Caenorhabditis elegans: one gene and its partner. The protein of the gene in region 2 purifies or fractionates together with the protein of the main gene of each other region. This does not show direct contact. Each region holds a gene or a part of one and is shown on either strand. Other genes may lie near its edges.

Evidence for each region.
Region 1: the proteins of mltn-7 (region 2) and madf-8 fractionate together in Caenorhabditis elegans (co-fractionation; one large-scale study listed by BioGRID). This does not show direct contact.

Annotation. Positions count from the first base shown.
Region 1 is NC_003281.10:3,648,286-3,653,062, forward strand, and holds madf-8 (MADF domain-containing protein), read right to left. Parts: upstream 2,548-4,777; 5' UTR 2,463-2,547; coding exon 2,456-2,462; intron 2,412-2,455; coding exon 2,305-2,411; intron 2,025-2,304; coding exon 1,962-2,024; intron 1,915-1,961; coding exon 1,787-1,914; intron 1,737-1,786; coding exon 1,609-1,736; intron 1,563-1,608; coding exon 1,370-1,562; intron 1,320-1,369; coding exon 1,167-1,319; intron 752-1,166; coding exon 628-751; 3' UTR 507-627; downstream 1-506. Other genes in the region: Putative potassium channel regulatory protein unc-93, read left to right, coding at 267-363, 413-490; gsr-1 (Glutathione reductase, mitochondrial), read left to right, coding at 2,691-2,725, 3,044-3,298, 3,354-3,711, 3,762-4,233, 4,290-4,591.
Region 2 is NC_003283.11:368,685-374,554, forward strand, and holds mltn-7 (MLt-TeN (mlt-10) related), read left to right. Parts: upstream 1-1,648; 5' UTR 1,649-1,673; coding exon 1,674-1,737; intron 1,738-2,169; coding exon 2,170-2,500; intron 2,501-2,556; coding exon 2,557-3,070; intron 3,071-3,442; coding exon 3,443-3,545; intron 3,546-3,589; coding exon 3,590-3,708; intron 3,709-3,757; coding exon 3,758-3,928; intron 3,929-3,990; coding exon 3,991-4,158; exon of another isoform or gene 4,159-4,307; coding exon 4,308-4,508; exon of another isoform or gene 4,509-4,561; coding exon 4,562-5,116; downstream 5,117-5,870. Other genes in the region: mltn-6 (MLt-TeN (mlt-10) related), read left to right, coding at 1-404; mltn-8 (MLt-TeN (mlt-10) related), read right to left, coding at 5,724-5,870.

The DNA of each region.
Region 1 (4,777 bases), on a different chromosome or scaffold from region 2:
AAAAAATGACGAAAAACATTTTTAGAAACACAAAAAACATTTAAAACGTTAAAATTCGCGTTTTGGTCCCCAATACCTAACGAGACCCAGCTTTTGGGGGCAGGACATTTGCATTTAGCCGTGGAGCACGCTTGCACCTCAATCTGACTATTCGCATTTTTTGCGTCTCCATAATAATGTTGGCCGTGAAAAAAACAGGTGGCCGAGTTTTCTTTTAAATTTCCCGGCCACGCTAGATTTAACTTGAAAAATAATTGAATTTTCAGACACGTCACAGTTGAAATATATTTGCTGATAACATTCTTCATGCTACTTTTAGGAATGTGCGGATTTTTAGCAATTGAAAATTTCGATCACATTATTGTAAGGCTGATTCGAAGAAATTAATTTTTTCTAATTTTAAATTTTCCAGAAATTTTGGCATCACTTAATTCACACGTCATGTCCAGAGAAGGAACCGTTGGATGATAGAAATTCAGATTTTGAATGAAAATAATTAAAAATCAAAAAAATCAGTTAATAAATTCGTACTTTATGTTTTATTAAAAATTCGAAAAGTCGAGAAGTATAACAAAATGCAGTAAAATGAGAAATATGTGATAAAAATTAATAAAACGTGGCGGGTGGCTAATTGAGTTTCAAATTGCTAGACTCTGCGTTTTTCTTGAAAATTTTCAGAATTTCCAGTCCATGCTCAGCCATCATTTCGGGACTCGACATTCCGGTGTCGTAGAGAGATTTTAGAAGAAATCTGGAAAAATTTAATAGGATTAAGCCGTATGTGTCGATTTACGCAAGTCGTGTACTCCTCGAGAAGAAGAAGAACACAGTTTTCGGCTAAAATTCTTGATTTGGAACTGTTTGAGCTAATTTTTTCTGTATTCGAGTTTAGAGCACCGTTTTGTAGTTACAGTAGTTTTCGTGACGGGACCCAAATTGGTTTAGCACCCGTCGAGCTGTATTCAAAATTCCTGCTGAAAATAGAAAAAGGATTTTTTAATCATGTTTTCTATACTTTTTTTGTTTTTTGAAGTTTTTTACAGCAAAAGAATTGGCGAAGATGGTTCAAAATAGATCAAAATATACCCAAAAGTTGTGAATTTTTAAAAATAAAATGCAAACTTCTCTTCGAGGAGTACACTTTTTATGTTGGGAATTTTCCTCACGTCAGAACATTTTTCTTATCACCAGGTGTGCATTGGATATTCTTATCAGCCAATACTAATTTATCATGAACACTTTGAGATGGCTGAGCGACGGTTGGACGGAGACAGAATGTCGTTCGGAAATTTATCATTGGACGGTAGAACTCTAATGCACTGAAAAAATTATTATTTTCATTTCATTATTTTCAATTTTCCAGCCGTACTCTGCATAAATCCATTTTCTCAGATTGGCGGCGTTCACCGCTGATACGAAATAATCTCTTTTACTCTTCCAGATTTGTTTACGCCGAGCCAATGGATACTCTTCATCTATTCCAAGTTCCAAGTCGAGTTGATCCCAAGCACGGCGAGACAAATTCGAATTCCGATGACAAATCAGGCGTTGATCCCATAGGACTAAAAAGGGAAATTTTTGGAAAAACTTCTTGATTTCCTGACTTACTAGGCCTTTTCCGAACTGCATATATAATATCGTACACTTTTTCAGGCTCCGCGTAATCGATTTTTGTAGATTGGCGGACCCGATTGTACTTAAAATACTTGTCTGAGCGTGTTTGCACAGTCAAATCACTGAAAAAAGGATAAAAAAGAAATCTGATAATAAATGTTTTAATTCATACTTTCCATCATTCTTGAGCATATCGGCTGTAATTGAAGGAATGTACATCGAATTGTTGGATGCTCGATAATAAACTGTTTCGGGAATAATTCCGGCATCAGTTTTCGCTTTTAATTCTTCGTAATTTGTCTGAAATCTTTGAATAGAATTGAAACGAATATTATAAAAAGCTGTACCGGAATATTGCGACAAGATCTTCTAGTTGGTCCAAGACGAAGTTTCTTCGATTCGCTGGCGCTCTGAAAAAATGTTTGATTTGTCATCATTTTTTCTAGTTTTCAGTGAAACTTTTGTCATCATTTATTAGTTTTTTCTTGTGCCTGATTGAATTGATTGAAACTACATATAAATAATCACTATTTTAATTTTATTGCCCACTCGCGCTCTTTTTGGTTTTTTTCTAATAAAATTGTCTTTCTTCTCTGCGCACTCCACTATTGACCAAATCAGTGTTTCTTTCTATTTGTCATTGCCCCGACACTGCGAAGAACGTTCGCGATTGTTCTTTGTCTTTTTTACCTCTCTTAATTCCTCCGTTGTAATTGATTTCAAGTCGTCATCGAGTTGTTGAAAATCGGCAAACACTTTTCGCTTCACTATTCGGCCGCTTCGAGATTTTTCAACTTCTGAAAAATTGAGAGATTCATATAGACCATTTTTCAACATTTACCTGTCATTTTTTATTCCAGCGTGCGAATCCGTTTGGAAAATTGAGCGGAATTTTTAATTTCCAAAAAAACTTCTAAATTTCAAATTTTAAACTCTTCGCGCGCTGAAAAAGGGGCGGAGTTTTCAATTCGCAAAATGGGCGCGAGCTATTTGCAACTTGGGCGCACAATTTAGTCCTTGATGTTTGTTTATTTTTTGCTGATCAAATGTCTAAAAACTTCTGTGAACCCTTCTGAATGCTCCGATTTCGCTGCATTTTGAGCACTTCGAGGTATTAAATTGTTACTTTTTGGTTTAAAAAAAGTTTTTGTAGTCTTTGTGGAGTCAAATTTCCATAAAACCTCTCGAATTTCGGAAGAAGGGCGGTCACATGTTTGTAGTCGCGCTTTGCTATCTTTGTAATTTGTCATCGTTTTTGCGTCAGTCGATTTTGAGTATTTCATTCGAAAAATAAACTTTAAAGTCCACTTCGCGACTGAAAAGAAATAAAGCTTTGATTTTTCTGCGAATTTTCAATCGCGCCTCTCTTTCGATGTTCTTACAAGTTCTGTTATTTTCCAACTTTTAATTATTAAAATTCGAGTTCCAGGTCGATCATGTCTGGCGTCAAGGAGTTCGACTATTTGGTGATTGGTGGAGGATCTGGAGGTATCGCTTCTGCTCGGCGTGCTCGTGAATTCGGAGTTTCCGTCGGGCTCATCGAATCTGGACGTCTCGGAGGAACTTGCGTCAATGTTGGATGTGTTCCGAAGAAAGTTATGTACAATTGCTCTCTCCACGCCGAATTCATCCGGGACCACGCTGATTACGGATTTGATGTGACGCTTAACAAGTTTGATTGGAAGTGAGTAATTTTTAATTAGTTTAATCAAATAATTCTTAATTGTTTTGTTTTTTAGAGTGATCAAAAAATCGCGAGATGAGTACATCAAACGACTCAATGGTCTTTATGAGAGTGGACTGAAAGGATCCTCAGTCGAATATATTCGAGGACGTGCAACTTTTGCAGAAGACGGAACTGTTGAGGTCAACGGAGCGAAGTATCGTGGAAAGAACACGCTCATCGCTGTTGGAGGAAAGCCAACCATTCCAAACATCAAAGGAGCCGAACACGGTATTGATTCCGACGGATTCTTCGATCTCGAAGATCTGCCAAGCCGGACCGTTGTCGTTGGAGCTGGTTATATTGCCGTAGAGATTGCTGGAGTTCTCGCAAATCTTGGTTCAGACACGCATCTTCTTATTCGTTACGATAAGGTACCATGAGGAACATGGAAACTTTTCAAGTTTAACTAAATAATTTTCAGGTTCTCCGCACATTTGACAAAATGCTCAGCGATGAACTTACTGCTGATATGGACGAGGAAACGAATCCACTTCACTTGCACAAAAATACTCAAGTCACAGAAGTAATCAAAGGAGATGATGGTCTTTTGACAATCAAGACAACGACTGGAGTCATCGAAAAGGTTCAGACTTTGATTTGGGCCATCGGAAGAGATCCACTGACAAAAGAGCTTAATCTGGAACGTGTTGGAGTGAAAACCGACAAATCTGGGCATATTATTGTCGATGAGTACCAGAACACATCTGCTCCAGGAATTTTGTCTGTTGGAGATGATACTGGAAAGTTCCTTCTCACACCAGTCGCAATTGCTGCCGGACGTCGACTCTCTCATCGTCTGTTCAATGGTGAAACTGATAATAAGTTGACTTATGAGAACATTGCCACAGTGGTTTTCAGTCATCCACTTATTGGAACCGTCGGACTCACGGAAGGTATAATATCTTTAAAATTTAATTCTTTGTGTCAAATTTAATCCCCAAAATTTCAGCTGAGGCCGTTGAAAAGTACGGAAAAGACGAAGTTACCCTCTACAAATCTCGCTTCAATCCAATGTTGTTCGCAGTCACCAAGCACAAGGAGAAGGCCGCGATGAAGCTTGTTTGTGTCGGAAAAGACGAGAAAGTCGTCGGAGTCCATGTTTTCGGAGTTGGATCCGATGAGATGCTCCAAGGATTCGCTGTTGCTGTCACAATGGGCGCCACGAAGAAACAATTCGATCAGACTGTCGCGATTCACCCAACTTCTGCCGAAGAGCTCGTTACTATGCGAGGAGGTGTGAAGCCGGAATAATTTTTTATTTATTTATTACATTTTTAAATTTGGATCAATTTCTTTTGACTTTCTTGTAGATAAAACATTGCAAAATTTAAAATGCATGGCAAAAAAATTATTTACAGGTTATGCAAAAAAATCTAATTATGGTGAGTGCTACATATTAACCCGATGGGTAGATTTTGGTAGGAAAGGATTTTCAGA
Region 2 (5,870 bases):
TTGTGCCAGTCCTCGTCAGTCCCCGTATCCTTGGCGCTGTAATTCTATCCCCGGTAATCATGTCTCCAGCGATCCTTACCCCTCTCTGCATGGTCCCTATCATCTTGTCTCCCGGAGTAGGTCTCCCGTTTATTTTGTCTCCATTCATTCTATCGCCATTTATTCTATCGCCGGTTGTTATGGCGCCACTGGTACTTTCCCCATTTGCACTTTCTCCGTTTATAGGTATCCCAAATGCTCTGACTCCACTGATCCTCTCCCCCTTTGTACTATCACCGCTGGTTTTGTCCCCTCCATTTGTGTCAGCTTTTGTGCTGAATCCTTATGCCTTGTCCCCTGCTGTTTTATCAAATGGTGCAGTTTTCACTGCGGTGCTGTCGCCAAGTTGGTTAAGCACCCTTTAAATAGTTCACACTTGTATGTTGTGTCCTCATAATATAGTGATAATTAAATAATTTATTAATAAGAATAATATGAAGAGGAGAGAATACAAGAAGAAATAGGCATTGCAACTAGAAAGACACATTTACAATCGCCTCCTACATAGGGAAGAGAACAGGCGGGACGGGTGTAGGTAACACTATATCGGCAGACAGACCGCATAGATCAAACTATAGATAAAAAACATTTGGTGTGCACAGGACCACACAACAATATAACAAACAGTTTCCCGTTTGTAGGTTTCGTTTGTGGGTTCCCCATCGTTACGAGACCATTGAGTGACTTTCAATTTTAATCTGAAAAAAAGGTTGGCGGAAATTTCAAATTTTTTGAGAAAGAGTTTTAAATTTTTACCGAAATTATTTTGGCGGGAGATTGAAGATTTTTGAGAAAAAAGTCTTGCGGGAAATTCAAGTTTTCGAGAAAAGTTGTAGTTGGGTATTCTAATTTTTTACGGAAAAGTTTGGCGGAAGATTCTATTTTTTCTGCAAAAATCTTCAAATTTAATTTTTTCGGACGAACTTTGCCGAGAAATTCAATCTTTTAAAGAAACATTTTTGAGCTAAATTCATATTATTCGAGAAGAATTTTGGCGGGAAATTAAAATTTTTTGGAAAAATGATTGATTGGAAATTCAACTTTTTGCGGATAATTATGGCCACGTGGTGTCAGGCTGTCCCATTACGGTTTGATCTACAAAAAATGAGGGAATTTTTTGCACAAAAAATGTGACGTCAGCATTTCCTTAACCATGCAAAATCAGCTGAGAACTCTGCCGCTTTTTTGTAGATCAACGTAGATCAAACGCAAATGGGGCACTTTGACACCACGTGTTTGGCGGTAAATTCGAATTTTTGCGGATAATTTTGGCGGTAAATTAAAATTTTTTAATGAAAAGTGTGTAAGGTTGTCACACAAAATTATTAAAAAAAACAATTTTGCACCTCAAATCAGAACACAAAACCAAAAAGTTCATCCATCGTTCTATTATTTATCTATTTGTTTTATCTTTTCATCCTTATCACTTCCCCTTTTCACTTTTTTCATTTTTCGGCATACACAAAAAAAAGGATAAATATCCAGATCACATTAGTATCCAACTGGTATTTCTACTCTTTTTCGGAAGAAAAAGGGTTGGGGGTAACGAGTATGTTACAAGCTGCGAATTAGGGTCGGCTATCTGGCTAATGACTGGGGGATAGCTATCATTCACAATTTTTTTGTCGGAGACTATGATCCGATGGATTTATTTAGTTTTATCTATGAACTTTATTTTCGGTGTTGCTTATGGTTTAGGTAAGTGTTTTGAAAAATGATTTTGTTTGAAAAAATAAACAAATCTATAGAACTTTATAATGAGAACTCCATTTTGTGTTTAATATAAAAGTGTTAAATTTTTTGCTGCAAAATTTGAATAAGACCTGGCACTGTGTATGAAAGTTGCTTATATAATAAAAGTAATTGGAAATTGCTGAAAATTTTGTTTTTTCGAATAGGGGCAATTTTTTCAATAAAAGTATAACTATTTTCAGATTTATCAAACATTTTTTCACCATATATGTACATAATAAATTTTATTACAAAAATTTGGATTATATCCCCGATATGAGCAGTTTTGTAGATTTGCCAAAAAAAAAATTTCATAACTTTGGATTAAAGTTCATCGCGAATTAACTTTGTTCACTGTTTTGCCTAGCTTATTTCTAAAAATAAATTTTAATTTTGCAGACACAAATTCCTCCTCGGATATCCAAAAAAGTGTGCTCCGTCTAAAGCACCAACTCACAGAAGGAACGATCCCTTCTAAGCTCCTTCCATTTCTCAACCTGACAGCAGTAGAAAAAGAGAAAGCCTCACACAATGGAAGTCTGCAGTTTATTGTAGACGATGATTATAAGAAGGGTATTAGTAAAGACCCTCCAGTTTTGAATATAAATGAGATGACACATGACGGGAACAAGACCATCGTGAAGATCTCCGAAGAAGCCACCTACCAACTGATTCAAAAATGGGTGGATCAAGCGGCGTCAGGCTTTATGATGGCCTTGATGAGCACTAAGTAGGTCATTCTTTTCAAAATAGGTGCACCCGTGAATCTGAAATTATATTTTCCAGGTTAAAAGATAAACGCCTAGAACCCCGCCACATCGCCCAGCACAACAATTGCACGCAGGTGGCCAAGTCGATCACGGAGCACGCGCAGTGTGTGGTGACAATTCTCAAGCGTCTAGATGATCAGAGACGGAAGATTCGAAAATTTAAAAAGTTAAAGTTTCGAAGATCCCAGCTGAGAAGAGCCAGAGCAAAACGAGATCTTCCCGAAACATACCGAGAAGACAAGGAACGTGTGGTTCAGCAGAAGCAGCAATATGAGCTGAAGGGGAAGAAGGAGATGACGTCGCCGTTCTCCTTGATAGCAAAGACCCTGACGGATATTGTGAGGGAGAATAAGAATAAGGAGAAGGAGCCGAAGAAAAAGTGGCAAACTGTGATCAATGAGATTAAAGATGAGCTGAATAGGATCAAGCAGAAGAAAAAGGATCAGGAGGATTTTCGGAACGTGTTTTCAAAATACTCAAGGACTATGAAGATGCTTGGTTTGAACCCGGAGACTGCGTTCAGAAGAGCGGTAAGATTTTGAGTGGAACCAGTACCAAGTACCCGATAAATTTTTGAAAAAAATTGTGACTTGGCCGACTGATCTATGTTTGATCTATGTTTGCGATGAACCACTCCCATAGAAAGTTGGGAAATGTCGGTAGAAAGTTGCCAAAGTTTAGCGGAAAGTGTCCAAAATTTGGCAGGAAATTTTCAAAGTATTGTAGAAAGATACCAAAGTTCTACAAACAGTAACCAAAGTTTTGCAAAAAGTTGTCAAAGTTAGGGAGAAAGTTATAGTCCTTCACTGACTTGGATTGATACTGTACCATAAGGTCTTTAAAATTCTAGTTTCTCAGAAATAAAATTTCTCACTACAAACTACAAAAATGCAATTTTACAGGGCCTAGATTCAATTGGTGAAGAGATTTCAGCTGCAAACACCACTGGAAAATTAAGCGAGGAGGAGCAGGTATTGAAGAAGCCGTTGATGATGATTAGAGATGGTAATAACCTATCTCAAAATCTGATATTTAGTTTCACATTTTAGGTGTAAAGCTAGGAATGATGCTAACCGGTCAAAATGTTTCAAACTTCGACGACCGGAAAATCGCACTGATGTCCCCTCAGTTTATGAGTGTTCTACCGGATGAGCAGGCAAATGATACGGTAGACTCCATGCTTTTCAGAAAAAAAAAATTCCAAAAAAAGTGTCCAGGTAAACCTACTCTCCCCTTCCGTGTTTGCTCTTCATGAATCCGGCTCCGAGCTTGACCAAATGCTTTCACTATCCCGAGCGATGAGGTTTCTCTCTGAAAATGGGCATGATGACTGGATGAACTTTGTGCTAGAAGCTTCAGGGGTGACAGAAGCCGTGGAGAAAATGAGAGTGAGTTTACATAGGTGAAGTTTGACTGGAATTTGAAAATAATTGAAATCAAACTTTTAAAGTTCGACGAGAGAAAACAAGAGATGGAGGCGTTCCGTAAGCATTTTTCAAACGAAAATGGGCAGCCAATGTACTTCACACGTCAGAATGTATCAGAGATGTATGGAGATTATAAGACCTCAAAAATTGACTCAATGGAGAAGTTGCACAAGTCGATGTCGGCAGCTCAGGTCAGGAAGGCACTATGAGAAAAAAAAGGAAATTGTGTAGATTTACGGCACGAAGCAAATGACTACGCCGACCAATCAGCGTAGTTGACCACGCTCACTGCAACCCTCTGATTGGCCGGCATACACGCGCGCGAATATGAAATTTTCAGATGCACGAGATGAACTCAACTGGCTACGCAATCATGAGCTCCCAGCAAATCTCCGAGTTCTACGGTCCAGGCTCCCCGTACAACGATTCCCATGCCTATGAGAACTACAGAAATTTGAGAAGAAATGATATTCCAGATATTTTAGAGAATAATATTCATCAGATGGCGCGCGAGGAGCAAGCCTTCAAAGTTGCTAGACAGGTCGGCCGGGAATTGATGCGGACAACTCACTATAAAAATTTTCAAATTTCCAGAAAGATGTAGTGCTGAGCCCTCTCCTCTTCACCTGGATAACGTTGGCTCCTAAAACAGCATCCCAGCCGATCGTCCTCTCCCCACTCGTCTTCTCCCCGCTGATCCTATCCCCATCGGCCCTGGGCCCCCTGATCCTCTCCCCGTGGATCTTCTCCCCACTGATTCTCTCACCACGTGTCCTTGCCCCGATCATCCTCTCCCCCACTATTTTCAGTCCCATCATCCTTTCCCCTCTAGCCCTGTCCCCACTAATCCTCTCCCCAGCCGTCGCCGATCCACTGATCCTCTCCCCTTTCGTCCTCACTCCCTTCATTCTGAGTCCTCTCGTCATGGTCCCGCTGATCTTAAATCCCTTTTGTCTATCTCCCCTTCTGGGCGTCCCAAACACTTTATCACCTATCATATTATCACCATTTGTGTTATCACCATTCGTGTTGTCACCTCCGTATGTCAATGCATTCGTTCTGTCACCGTATTTTTTGTCGCCAATCGTTTTGTCGGATGGTTTACTGTTTACCGCAGTTTTGTCGCCGTCTTTCTTGAGCTCTTTGTGATATTTTAGTTGTACTCAGAACTTTAATAACGAGTTTAATAAATGAACAAATCTGGTTATGCTGAGCCGGCGAAACGGCAAAATGGCAAAATTTTCCTAACGCAAACTCCGATTTATGCTCTGAAAAATAGGTAATTTTGCCTATAAATGCTTGTTTTCATTGAGTTTTGAGCTTTTGTAGATATATCGAGTCAGGAAACATTTTGACCGGTTAGCGTAGAACGCGTGATATTAAGGAATCGAGCTGTAGGTGTGCTGGTGATACTGGGATAATATAGTGATACTGTAGGGTTACTGTAGTTTCGGAAAATAACGAAATTTTGCAATTTTTCAGGGGCGTCAATATATTCATAGATAGGGTTTGGAGCCTGAAAATGTATTAATTATTTACAGTTTAACTTTTTAGGAATATCATTTCAGCTGTAAATTCAAAATGAAATTAAAATTAGTTAATAACACTGAATGCCATAAGTTCAGAATTTGCTGTTTAACTATAATATTTCGTTTTTATGTGAGATCCAAAGTTTGGTTCCAAACAGTATAGTCTCGCCAGTCTCGGCTTATTTTTAACACGAAAAACAAATCATCTTTATTATTGGACTAAACGATCAGAGTGTACTCAACCAGCTTGGTGACAGTACAGCCGTGAAAACTGCTCCACTCGACAACACAGTTGGAGATAGCGCGTATGGAGTAAGCACAAAAGCTGATACAAATGGAGGAGACAAGATCAGTGGAGACAGCACAAAAGGTGA